Linked DNA regions of Schizosaccharomyces pombe. The protein of the gene in region 2 interacts with the protein of the main gene of each other region in a biochemical or structural test. Each region holds a gene or a part of one and is shown on either strand. Other genes may lie near its edges.

The links.
Region 1: the proteins of cig2 (region 2) and pop1 form a complex in vitro, tested with the Schizosaccharomyces pombe proteins (one study listed by BioGRID).

Annotation. Positions count from the first base shown.
Region 1 is NC_003423.3:3,467,309-3,472,417, forward strand, and holds pop1 (cullin 1 adaptor protein Pop1), read left to right. Parts: upstream 1-1,819; 5' UTR 1,820-2,034; coding exon 2,035-4,362; 3' UTR 4,363-4,577; downstream 4,578-5,109. Other genes in the region: beta-glucosidase Psu2, read right to left, coding at 1-221; synaptonemal complex-associated protein hop1, read left to right, coding at 5,011-5,105.
Region 2 is NC_003424.3:2,707,835-2,714,694, reverse strand, and holds cig2 (G1/S-specific B-type cyclin Cig2), read right to left. Parts: upstream 4,914-6,860; 5' UTR 3,616-4,913; coding exon 2,380-3,615; 3' UTR 1,643-2,379; downstream 1-1,642. Other genes in the region: P2 type calcium transporting P-type ATPase Pmc1, read left to right, coding at 1-1,642; mitochondrial [2Fe-2S] cluster assembly and transfer glutaredoxin Grx5, read right to left, coding at 5,826-5,916, 6,249-6,598. UniProt on the Schizosaccharomyces pombe protein: Essential for the control of the cell cycle at the G2/M and G1/S (mitosis) transition. Interacts with the cdc2 protein kinase to form MPF. Interaction with res2 promotes the phosphorylation of res1 and inhibits MBF-dependent gene transcription.

The DNA.
Region 1 (5,109 bases), on a different chromosome or scaffold from region 2:
TTTTGATCATCAGGAAAAGAGGAGCAGTCGTATACGCCGTCAGGAAAACCACCGTCTCTTTTTGAAAAAGCGGTAGTGTTTGTGACATTGACACCAACAGTTATATTGCTAGCATTCAAACCGGCATGATGGTGATGGTGATAGGGAGCATTACCAAGAGGCATAGCTGAAACCAAAGGAATGGCGGAAACCGCAAAACAAAGAAAGTTGTTAAAGAGCATTTTTAGATTTAAAAGATTTGACAGGAATCTAACGATTGACTTTATAAACGATAGGATATGCTAGTAACTTGATACTAGAAAATAAAAGAAAGATGGTAAAGAATATAATGGTCTTTACCTTTTGCGGTTCTGATTGTTTAATTTCAGCTCACGGCTTTTCCCTAAAAATCAGCTCAGCTTTATATACATTTCTTTTTTCAAGCACTTCACCATCTTTTGATTAAGAGCCGTGGCGTTTTGCCACTAATTAACCATGAAAGCCTGTAAGTTTTCAACGTTGATTTTTTCAGAAAATTTCTAACCATAAACCCGAAATAATTAGCGCCAAAACAGTCAACTATTGCGCTCCAATCATTGCTTGCCTTGCTATCGGCTTTGTATTCATTGGCTGATAACTTAATTAAAAATGAACTTAAAAGTCAGTTGATAAATTCAACCAATTAAATGCGTGAATTTGATCTACCCCAGGAAAATTTATACTGTCCCGGGGTCGCGGGGCGTTCAATCATTCATTTCAAAGCAAATTATTATTATTTCCAAGCCAAGTAATTTAATTTTTGTTTATCGCTTTAGCTTTCTTATCATAAGGAAGTTCTTGGTCCCCTGGGCCTTTTGCAATTGAATTGCGCGGTGTACGTAAGCCTAATGACATCCCTGTATACCTAACTTACAAATACGTTGGCTCGACTCAACGTTATATTGATTTTCTCCTAATACTATTAAATATATTTAATAATCTCTTGGGAAAGTAATCTGGTACATACAAATCATCCTAGATATAAGAGGCTCGGTGCATTTCGGCAAATGATGTTCTGCAGCTCATTAAATATGATATAATATTAATTAATTAATATCGTGTTTACACTCGGTTTATCGGTTTGCTATGCTAAGAACTTTTACGGATAACAATTTAATTATTTATCTTGGTAGCGTATTTGACGCTTCTTTGGATACTGAGATTAAGTCAAATTTTGAATGGAGAGAAGTCGAATAATAGCCCAATGCCTGCCGAAATTACCCGATGCATGTCATTGACGAGACAAAAAATTTCTTTCAACGGCCTAAGAAAATGATGTACTAGAAACGCCATCTTAGTCTGACATTTTACATTTTACGCTCATGCTCAAATTTTATTAATAAATTATTATATGTGTCCGTGTCATTTAGAATATGACAGGGGAGGGTAATCTCTTTCCCAACTTTATTGGCGTGTAATGAAATTCGCGAGCTACTATTGTGTCTGCATTCTTTAGCTGCAAAAACGCAACGGAAAAGACAATTTTATAATATGAATACTTCACGTGTTCATTGTTTTTGTCTTTAGAGAATTTATTTGAAAATGCTGAGGAGGTTAATATCTGGTATACAATTAAAACACTATCGCAAATAATGTAAAAAAAAATAATATTGAGGAGCCATAACTAAGTCATATAACTTTTCTTATTGAACTATTGTTATGTCGCGATTTAGTCGTATTTACCATAAACTATAAAAACTTTTCTTAATCAACAGTAAAATTGTTACTTATTCTGGTGTTACTTACACCTCCGCTTGCGTAGAGTGAATTTAAAATTCATTGCCAAGAGTTTATGGTCTTTACGATCTATCTCGCTGAACTTCAAAAAAACCAAGAAAAAGTATTGCTCTAATGCATTAAGACGATAACTATTTGCAAAATAATTTCATATACATGTTTCCCAACGGGCAGTTGTTTTAAGTAAATTCATCAGTATCGATTCTTGAACCAGGTTCTCTAACATCATAAAAGAACTTGACAAATACTTTTCTACTAAGTGTCTGTAAACTACTTGAAATGAATGAGAAGAAAAAAGATAGCCTATCTGTTTTAGATTCCAATGAATTTTTCGGTGAGACAACTATGGTATCACCGAGTATTGATGTTTCCTCTTCTCCCCGGCCAAATGTCGAGAGATTTTCTCCATGTTCCACTAAAAAAGATCTCCTGGAAGGAAATAATATAATGACCAGAATTCCCGAGGAGCTTAGTCGTGTTAGTCTACAATTTGATAGCAAGGGAAGTCAGCAATCGATGATATTTACTAACAATCGATGTTTATCTGATAAAGAAAATTTGGAAAACTTGCAAAATCTTTTATATCTACATTGTGATCTTAACCGGCCCCATTTGAGTTGTGAGCTGCCGTCAGAGCATCGCGAAAAGTGCCTTAAACGCCGTAACTCTAGTCTCAGCTCTAATTTGCATGCTAATAAGCGGTTTCTCTTCAATTCTCAAAGTGATGGGAATAAAAAGAATGAAACTTTTCCTTCTACTAACTACTCGAACGTTTTCTACCCAAACAACTGTGACAGTAAGGAAGTCGCTAGTGAAACAACATTCTCACTTGATGCACCAAATAATTCTGTTAATTACTCTTATTTTTCTCCTAATTTACTCGGCAACGATTCCAAAACCCGTCAATCTTTTCCCCCTCATTCATCTTCATCTTCACATAATTCTTTGCATGAACCTGTCATATATGATTTTTCTTCAGAAAATCCTAGCATTCATCCTTCTAATCATTTGAGCTCTCAAAAAAATGCTGTTTTGAAATTAGCACAATTAATTTCTTCCTTCGAAAAATTACCCGAAAGTGTTCGTCAATACTTACTTTTTCATCTTCTTTCTCGATGTGGAAAACATGCTGTTCAAAATATTCACAAAATTCTGCTTCCTATCTTTCAAAAGAACTTTTTAACTGGATTTCCGGCTGAGATTACAAATTTAGTGCTTACGCATTTAGATGCACCTTCATTGTGTGCAGTTTCGCAAGTTTCGCATCACTGGTATAAGTTGGTATCGTCCAACGAAGAACTTTGGAAAAGTCTCTTTTTAAAAGATGGTTTCTTTTGGGATTCAATTGATAGTAAAATCCGTACGATGTGTTTAGAACAATCTTTGTCAGCCTGTGCGATAATGAAGCGGGTCTATTTTAGACATTTTAATCTTCGTGAAAGATGGCTCCATGCCCCGGAGAAAATTAAGCGATGTTCATTCCCAATTCATGGAGTTCGTCTTATTACCAAACTTCAGTTTGATGATGACAAAATAATTGTTAGCACCTGCAGTCCTAGAATTAATATATATGACACGAAAACAGGTGTCCTGATACGCAGTTTAGAAGAGCATGAAGGTGATGTTTGGACTTTTGAATACGTTGGGGATACTTTGGTTACTGGCTCCACAGACAGGACAGTAAGAGTCTGGGACCTTAGAACCGGTGAATGTAAACAGGTGTTTTATGGACACACGTCAACAATCCGTTGTATCAAAATAGTTCAAGGCAATCAAAGTACTACTGATACTGATGATGTGGAAAAAGAAAACAGACCAGCTTCAAATGATGCTAATTCAATGCCTCCGTATATAATTTCAAGTTCAAGGGATTGTACGATCCGTTTATGGAGTCTTCCATGCCTTGACGATCCACCATTTGTTAATGTAAATGAAAATCCTGATCAGAATAATGACTTTACTTCAGCTACGACCAATCCGTTTTACATCCGAACATTACGTGGTCATACGGACTCGGTACGTGAAGTTGCTTGTCTTGGAGATTTGATTGTCAGTGCCAGTTATGATGGTACTCTTAGAGTATGGAAGGCATCTACTGGCGTTTGTTTACATGTTCTTCGGGGACACGTCGGGAGAGTATACAGTGTCACAATTAATCCTTCTCGTCAACAATGTATCAGCGCTGGTACGGATGCTAAAATTCGTATTTGGAACCTTGAGTCTGGAGAACTTCTACAGACCCTTCATGGTCATTCGAATTTGGTAAGTCAAGTTACATTTAACCAAAATATCTTGGTATCCGCTTCTGCTCCTCCTGATACATCGTTGAGAGTTTGGGATCTAAACACCGGAAGTTGTCGAGATATTTTAAAATGTCCTTTGGGACACATATTTTTTCAACACGACGAGAGCAAAGTTGTCAGTGGAAGCCATAGTACGCTACAGTTATGGGACATTCGTTCCGGAAAGTTAGTAAGAGACCTATTGACTGATTTGGATATAATCTGGCAAGTTGCTTATAATGAAAATGTATGTGTGGCTGCTGTTTTAAGAAATAACCGTTTTTGGATCGAGGTCCTAGAGTTTGGATCTACTAAATCTTCTTGAGCTTTTATAAGTTGAGATACTAGAAATCTATAAAAGATCTCGAAATTTTATTTTACGTTTCCAAACTGAAATAGATTCATGCTATTTATTCTGGAAACTCCTCTATCATATAATATTTGTCTAATTGTTTGTTGACTTTTAAATGTTTACTCATAATTTTCTTTTTTAAATATCTAATAAGAATGCAAAATAATATTTTTTTAAATGATCTATTCTACATTTATAAATTATTTAGTGTTAAATTCGTTTGTTGAGGCCAAAATTTTTTTACCAAAGGGATAAGCGAATTTCTTGAATCCTTAGCTTCAAATAGCGTCCATTCTACCCAAAAGCGTACTATATTTTTATAATTAGCAAACTATAGTAAATAAAAAAACAAACATTTTAGCTTTGTAAATGTAAAAAGACATTTAATTTAACAAAAGGCTTTTACATTACTTCATAAGCTACCAAATGTCTTCATCGTAAAACATGCTTTTCGCATTCCATTTATCTATGTAAGCCATTTTAGTGTAGTTTAAAGTGTTGGAAAACCACAGGTGGGACTGTAATATACGTACACTTAAGACGCGTTCGACGCGTTCACAAAATTACCATATATAGATATCAACTTATCAAATACCCTTTACTTCTAAGTATAAATGACAAATGAATTCATACAAAGAGGAAATTCTGCAAACTAAGTCTGACTTTACTCTTAAAAATTTAATTTTCTTCGCGATATCAACATTATGCTATAAGCGGTAC
Region 2 (6,860 bases):
CTCTTGGCCTCCCAAAGATATTCCCACCAATGACGAGGATAGTTCTAATCCTTTGAAATGGGAAGACGCATTTACAGACATGACTTTCTTAGGATTTTTCGGTATCATGGACCCTATTCGGCCAGATGTACCTTTGGCTGTAAAGGTTTGCCAAGGTGCAGGGGTGACTGTTCGTATGGTTACTGGTGATAATATTGTTACTGCTAAGGCTATTGCTTCGCAGTGCGGAATTTACACAGAGGATGGAATATCCATGGAAGGACCGGAATTTCGATCTCTTTCTGATGAGAAACGCTTAGAAATCTTACCCAAATTAGATGTACTTGCACGCTCATCTCCTTTGGACAAACAGTTATTGATTGAAGGACTGCAGAAGCTTGGTAACGTAGTAGCGGTTACAGGTGATGGTACCAATGATGCGCCTGCACTAAAAAAAGCTAACGTCGGCTTTTCAATGGGTAAATCGGGAACCGAAGTTGCCAAGGAGGCGTCCGATATTATCCTTATGGACGACAACTTCTCGTCAATTGTGAAAGCAATTGCTTGGGGAAGAACCGTTAACGACGCTGTAAAAAAATTCCTGCAATTTCAAATTACCGTGAATATTACGGCTGTTTTCTTGACTATTATCTCTGCTGTTGCCTCGACTGACCAAAGCTCTGTTTTAACTGCTGTTCAGCTTTTGTGGGTTAATTTAATTATGGATACACTTGCTGCTCTTGCACTTGCCACTGACCCTCCTACTCCTGAAGTGTTAAAGAGGAAACCTGAGAAACCAGGTGCATCGCTTTTTACTTTTGACATGTGGAAAATGATTATTTGTCAATCTATGTACCAACTTGCTGTTACTTTGGTGCTACACTTTGCTGGTAATAGTATCTTCCATTACCCTTCCAATACTGCGGACATGAATACTATTGTTTTCAATACCTTTGTCTGGCTCCAGCTGTTTAACGAAATTAACAATCGGAGATTGGATAACAAGCTCAATATTTTTGAACGTATTAACCATAACTTCCTCTTTATTGCTATTTTCGTTATTGTTGCTGGTATCCAAGTTATAATTGTTTTTTTCGGAGGTGCCGCATTCTCCGTAAAAAGAATCGATGGTAAAGGATGGGCGATTTCCATCGTGTTTGGTGTTATCTCTATCCCACTTGGAGCCTTGATTCGTTGTGTACCAAACAATTTCCTAAGAAAGGTCCTTCCGGTTAAGACAATTGACACTGTTTTCTCTTGGATTCTAAATCCTAGGTTCCGTTCTAAGCGCCGTTCAACCGATCATGATGTTGAATCCCTTAGTCTTATCCCGTATGAACCCACATCTCCCAACGAAGTTATTGACTCTATTCGTCATTCCCTTGGCTTCGTTCAACGCATTAGAGGAGGAAGGATACGCCACCTACTCAACAACTCCAAATTTGATAAACAGATGGAAGCGCTTCCTGAACGTCTTCGTCCCCGTGTAAAACAGAGATTTATGAAGATCCGTTCACCTTCTGTTTCTTCAGCTACTAGCGTAGCTTTAATGATTCCTATCTCAACACTTGTTAGTGAAGCCAGCGGACGATTAGGTGGGCATGACATTTGGATTTCTCACAATCGCCAAGCTCTCGATAAAAAAAGCTCAAATGTTCATTAATTTAAGACGAATGTATGAGACAGAATAACAGTGATTCTATTATCGAATTTTTCTTTTTTATTTCCTTATTCTCGTTGGAAATCGCCTTCTTTTTCTATATTTGTTATCAATTAAAAGTTTGTTTCTTAGGTTTAAAAATTCCCTTTTTGTATAGAAAACGAGTCAGCTTTACCTTTTTCCTTATGTCTACTTTCTTTGTTTATCTTTATGAGTTACTTGGTTTTTGCCTATTAATGGTTTAGCCAGTTTGTTATATACCGCTTGAGCTTTAAGTTTTATGAATGAATAAAGAAAACTCCATTAATTAGAAACATGTTGTTTAACAGAAATATGAGGAAACAACGTACACGTATTTTGAAATAAAAAATGTAAACGTAACATAAAGTAAGGAATGAAATTATCGAATACTCTAGAATCAACGGAATCATCTAAAAGACAATGTGTGAGGATTAAGCATCAACACGGTTTGTTTAGTAGACTACAAAATTTTCAATTCTAAAACTCTTGGATAAAACTTGGGTATATGGTATATAATTAAGGACTTAGTTATCAAGGAGGAAAGGCTTGATGACATACTTGAAAACAGTCCTTGCATAAAGATGATAAGATTCAAAGAAAGAGAAGAAGAAAAAGAAGCTCTTTAAAAAGTAAATAAGTTATGATAATAAATAATAAAAGAAGAGCTCAACCTCATATTCAACAGAATATTTGCGTAAGAAAATTTATAAGAGCGTTCGTTAGTGACCATCATTTGTTAAAGAAGAAGACGGTTCTGATTGAAGGTCATCATCGTCCGTACGATTGACTGAGTATCGTTGACGGACGAGTTGATGAACAAAAATACTAGCCTTCAGGAACCTTTTTGAGGAGTATTTTTGGAAAAAGGCTTTGTGTTCTAGAGGCTTGTTATGATAATGAAGCATAATATACGCTATCTCCTTTAATTCATGCTCTTCATACCCACCAGAGCTTTCAACTAACTTTGGCGTCCATGGGCCGCGACGCAATAATCGGCGGCTCAAATACATTGCGGCAGCAGCAATTTTAGACATAGGATATCGTAATAAATCGTGGTCAAACAGATAAATTTCTGTTAGGTATTTCCCCAATGTCCTTGTTTGTGCATCATAACCTTCTGCTTGAGATATTTTGCGAAGAAAATTTAAAGGACTTGGATAGGACAAGTCAAAATTGAGAACATTTAACATATAACGTTCAGCGACACAGACATCTTCTACGGTAAAAGCACCATCAGTCATGTAAACAAAGTTTTGTATCGAAGGACACATAACCTCCTCATATTTGCTAGCGATGAGAAGAGCAGTAATGCCTGTTAATTGAAATTTAGACAAAGAGCATGAACGACGCGACAAGAATCGATCAATTATATTGACTGCCAAATAAAGGGTTTCGGGCATTAAACAAAAGTTGGAATGTATTTCCACCAACCATTCATTCAAAATTTCCCTCATTTTCCAGGTTAATTCTTTTTGTTGGTCCATATATTTTGGATTGGGAAGACACTTTAAATCCAGCTTTCTGATGTACTCAAATATTTCGGGTGCGTATTCCTCAGCCATCAAAGGATTGGAGGATAAATGATCATCAACATTAGAGACTCTGTCCTTTTGTAAAGTTTCTACAGATGGATCCGCATTTTTGCTATAAACTTTCAACTTTTTCACGAATTTAGATTCGACAGGTTTATCAGCTTCTTCATTTGTAGATAAATTAGATTCATCGAACGATCTTTTCGCTTTTTTCGTATCCTTCTCATCAGCATTATTTTTACCTACATTGGAAACATCAGATAGGACAGTTCGACGTGGCAGATTAATTTCAAAATTTGTAGATAATTTTGTCTTCTCAGTCCCTTTTGATAAAGCTTGTTTGCCAACAAGTGTGTTTTCATCTTGATAACTATGCTTATTGATTTTAGAACCAACAGGCTTTGAAATTGAATAGAGAGCCATATGAAATATGGATTGATAAATTACCCTTTTATCAACGTATAGAAATATATCTGATTGTTTGTAACCAAAAATGTCTTCTTTTTATTAAAATAAGGAAACTGTTTTTGGTAAATTAATCTCAATTGACAAGATGGATAAATTAGGGAAATTGAGCGATCGAGAAACAGAAAGCACTTATAGCGAATTTTTAAAGTTTCTCTTTTAAATGAGAATAAATCAATGGGTCCGAATTATTCTATTGTTGTTGATAGGAAGAAAGGGAAAGAAATCGTCCAAACATAAACAAATGAATTGTGTAAACAAACCAAACCAACCTACTGTTGTGGATATAAACGAAAAAAAAAAACAAGCAGATGTAATCAAAATTGAGAAAGAAAAAAAAGTAAAGATAAATTTTTTAACGTTCGATTCGAAAATGAATTTACCTCTTTGAGGTATGCAGAATTAACTCTTATAAAGCACAAGAGCGTAGTTTAAAGGGACAATGATTAACGAAGAGAATTAAAAAGAACACTTCTTTGTAATTAGTTTAGAAAAAGCAAAGTTGAAGGTTTGATAAACAAACGATGGATCAGAAAAAGCAGCACTAAGACGAACAATACAAGCAAATAAGTTTGATAGTTCGAATTTAAAAGAATAACAAATGTAGGTGTTATTTTTCCAGCAAGAAAAGCGAGTAAAACCTTTTCAGCTTGAGGGCGAGAGCAATGCTGAAAGGCTAAATAAATTGCAATTGGGAAGACTGTAGGATAGCAATTGTTGCACTAATATCGAAAGGGGACGATTAATTATGTTTTAATAAGATATAGTGTACTTGTTATAAGAGAAATGACTGTCTTTGGCAAGCGCCTCCTGTAAAAGAGTAGGACAATAAGCGAACCAGAACAAAGAAAACAAAGAAACTTAAAACGGTAAAGTACACAATAGAAACCGACACTTAGCAGCTGAAAAGTGTAAAAAATTAATTAAAAGAAAATAAGTACAGTAGAAATAAGATACTCCGGAGTAAAAACTAGCTTGACACTCAAAATACTGAAAGCTTAATTTACTATTGTTTACAGTTAAAACCAGCTCAACCTAGTATATGGAGCCTAAACTGATCCCTATAGCATGTATTTGAAAAAAGAAATTAGAAAGAAGGAATATTCAAAGAGAAAAGAAGAAACGCAAAAAGCAGCGACAACAAGAGAAGGACTTCAAGGTGGATCCAACCTTTGGTAGAGTCTTGTAAAAGGGAAATTACACTTGTACAAGTGCCTTTGAAGCCTTTCTTGTAACTCAACACAAGTCAAAGTGTCAGTGAAAAAGCAAAAGACAGGCATAGCAAGCATATAAAAGAAGTAAACGCGACGCGACGCGAGAAACGCGCTTTCGCGCAAGCTAAGTTGCGTGCACCTCGTTTTGGCGTGTTTTAGAGCGCGCGCTTTGGTGTAGCGTTTTGTATATTACAATTCACTATGCGCGTGCCGTCATTACATGCTACACAAACTAACGCAATTTGAATAGAATTAAAAAGGGAGAGTTCGCTAATACTTTATATCGCAGTTACACTATAATTCGCTATATGCTGAGCTTGGAAGGAATAATGTTGTTTGTCAAGAAACACAAGCATCTGTTAATAAAAGTTTGGTAAACGTCTCGTAACGTCGATAAGCCAGTACTTTATATAATCAAAGAAGAATTTTTAAATCATATCAGATAACCAATCGTAATGCTTTCTGTGAATTACACCTACCAAGACATTGTTCTGTGCAACAACATAAGCAAAATAAAACAGTATTCAGCAATAGCGCTTTAACATTAAATCTAATTTACGACATTTTTTTTAAAAAAAAAGTCAAGGAATAACAATAAGGCATAAATCACGACACTAATTTCCATTCTCTATGTCATTTGGATGGACATGAACATGAACATGATCGCTTTCAAATTGATATTGAGGTTGATCCAAAAAATAACTTCCGATAAAAATTATTTTTTCTTATAGAGCTCTTTTACATTATTTCCAACATTTTGTCATGAAAGGGCATGAACACAAAAAAGAGGAGAAACAGAATTTCAAAGCTTCATTAAAGAATATCAAGCGTACAGCAAAAAGATAATTGAATAACGTCTGATTGATATACATGGCCTGTGGTGTCAAGTTGACCAATAAACTAAAAAATGCACAAGACCGTGGTACGTTGTGCAAATTAATTTGCAATGTGGACTCAATCCTTTTTAGTAGTTTCCTCTTCACTATCCTTTGGCTGTTCAGGGGCCAAAGCATTTATTTCTTTTAGAATTTTGTGAAGCTCTCCTCTACAGACAAATTGTTAATACAGAAATGTTGACAAGGAGAAATAATTAAATATGAGAGAAAAAATGAGGGAGAGAACAATGTGGCATATATAGACGACGAATTAAAGACACTGATACACTAATAGTTGATTTTTATCCAATGCTTTAAAAGGGAAAGTTCATTTGAAGAAAGAGCGAAAATATAACAGGGTTTTTTTATCTTTAATATCAACTAGAGTGATTAAACAGTTGTAGAATCCTCCTTCATCATCTTTAACATTTCCTATGACACCTCCTCAATCCTCACCGTCTCTCTACCAAATAATAAAAATACAGTTTAAAACATTACTTACGATTTATGCATGGACGCCAAGATATCACTACCGCCCACGAATTCTCCGTTAATATAAAGTTGAGGAATCGTAGGCCAGTCGCTGAACTCCTTTATACCTTCACGTAGCTCATCATTACTCAAAACGTTGTACGTAACTAATTTATCGGAAGCAACGTTTTCTAATGAAAGAATTTGAATCGCCTTTAATGAAAATCCACACATTGGGCGGGTAGGTGTACCTTTCATGAATAAAACGATAGGATCCTCTTTGACGGCCTGTTCAAGAGCTTGACGAGTTTGTGTGGACAGCATGCGAAGTTGCATGGATATACTGGTTTTAGGAATCCAAAATCTAAACATCGAATTCATCTTGAATATGGATATTGTAAAGTGTTTATAATAAGGCAATTTTGAGCTTGAATGTCAACTCATTGATTCGCCGCAGATAAAAGTGTAAGAAGCCGTACCACGTTCTATTGCGCTATATAGAATTCTTCCAAGTCTTAAATCAGTATAATATTATAGAAAATCAGTACTTTTAGAAAAGTTTTATAAGAATATTTATTTTATTAGAAAAGTATATCGTGGGATAAAAGACTTAATATTGTACTAATCAGTTTCTGATTTCGAG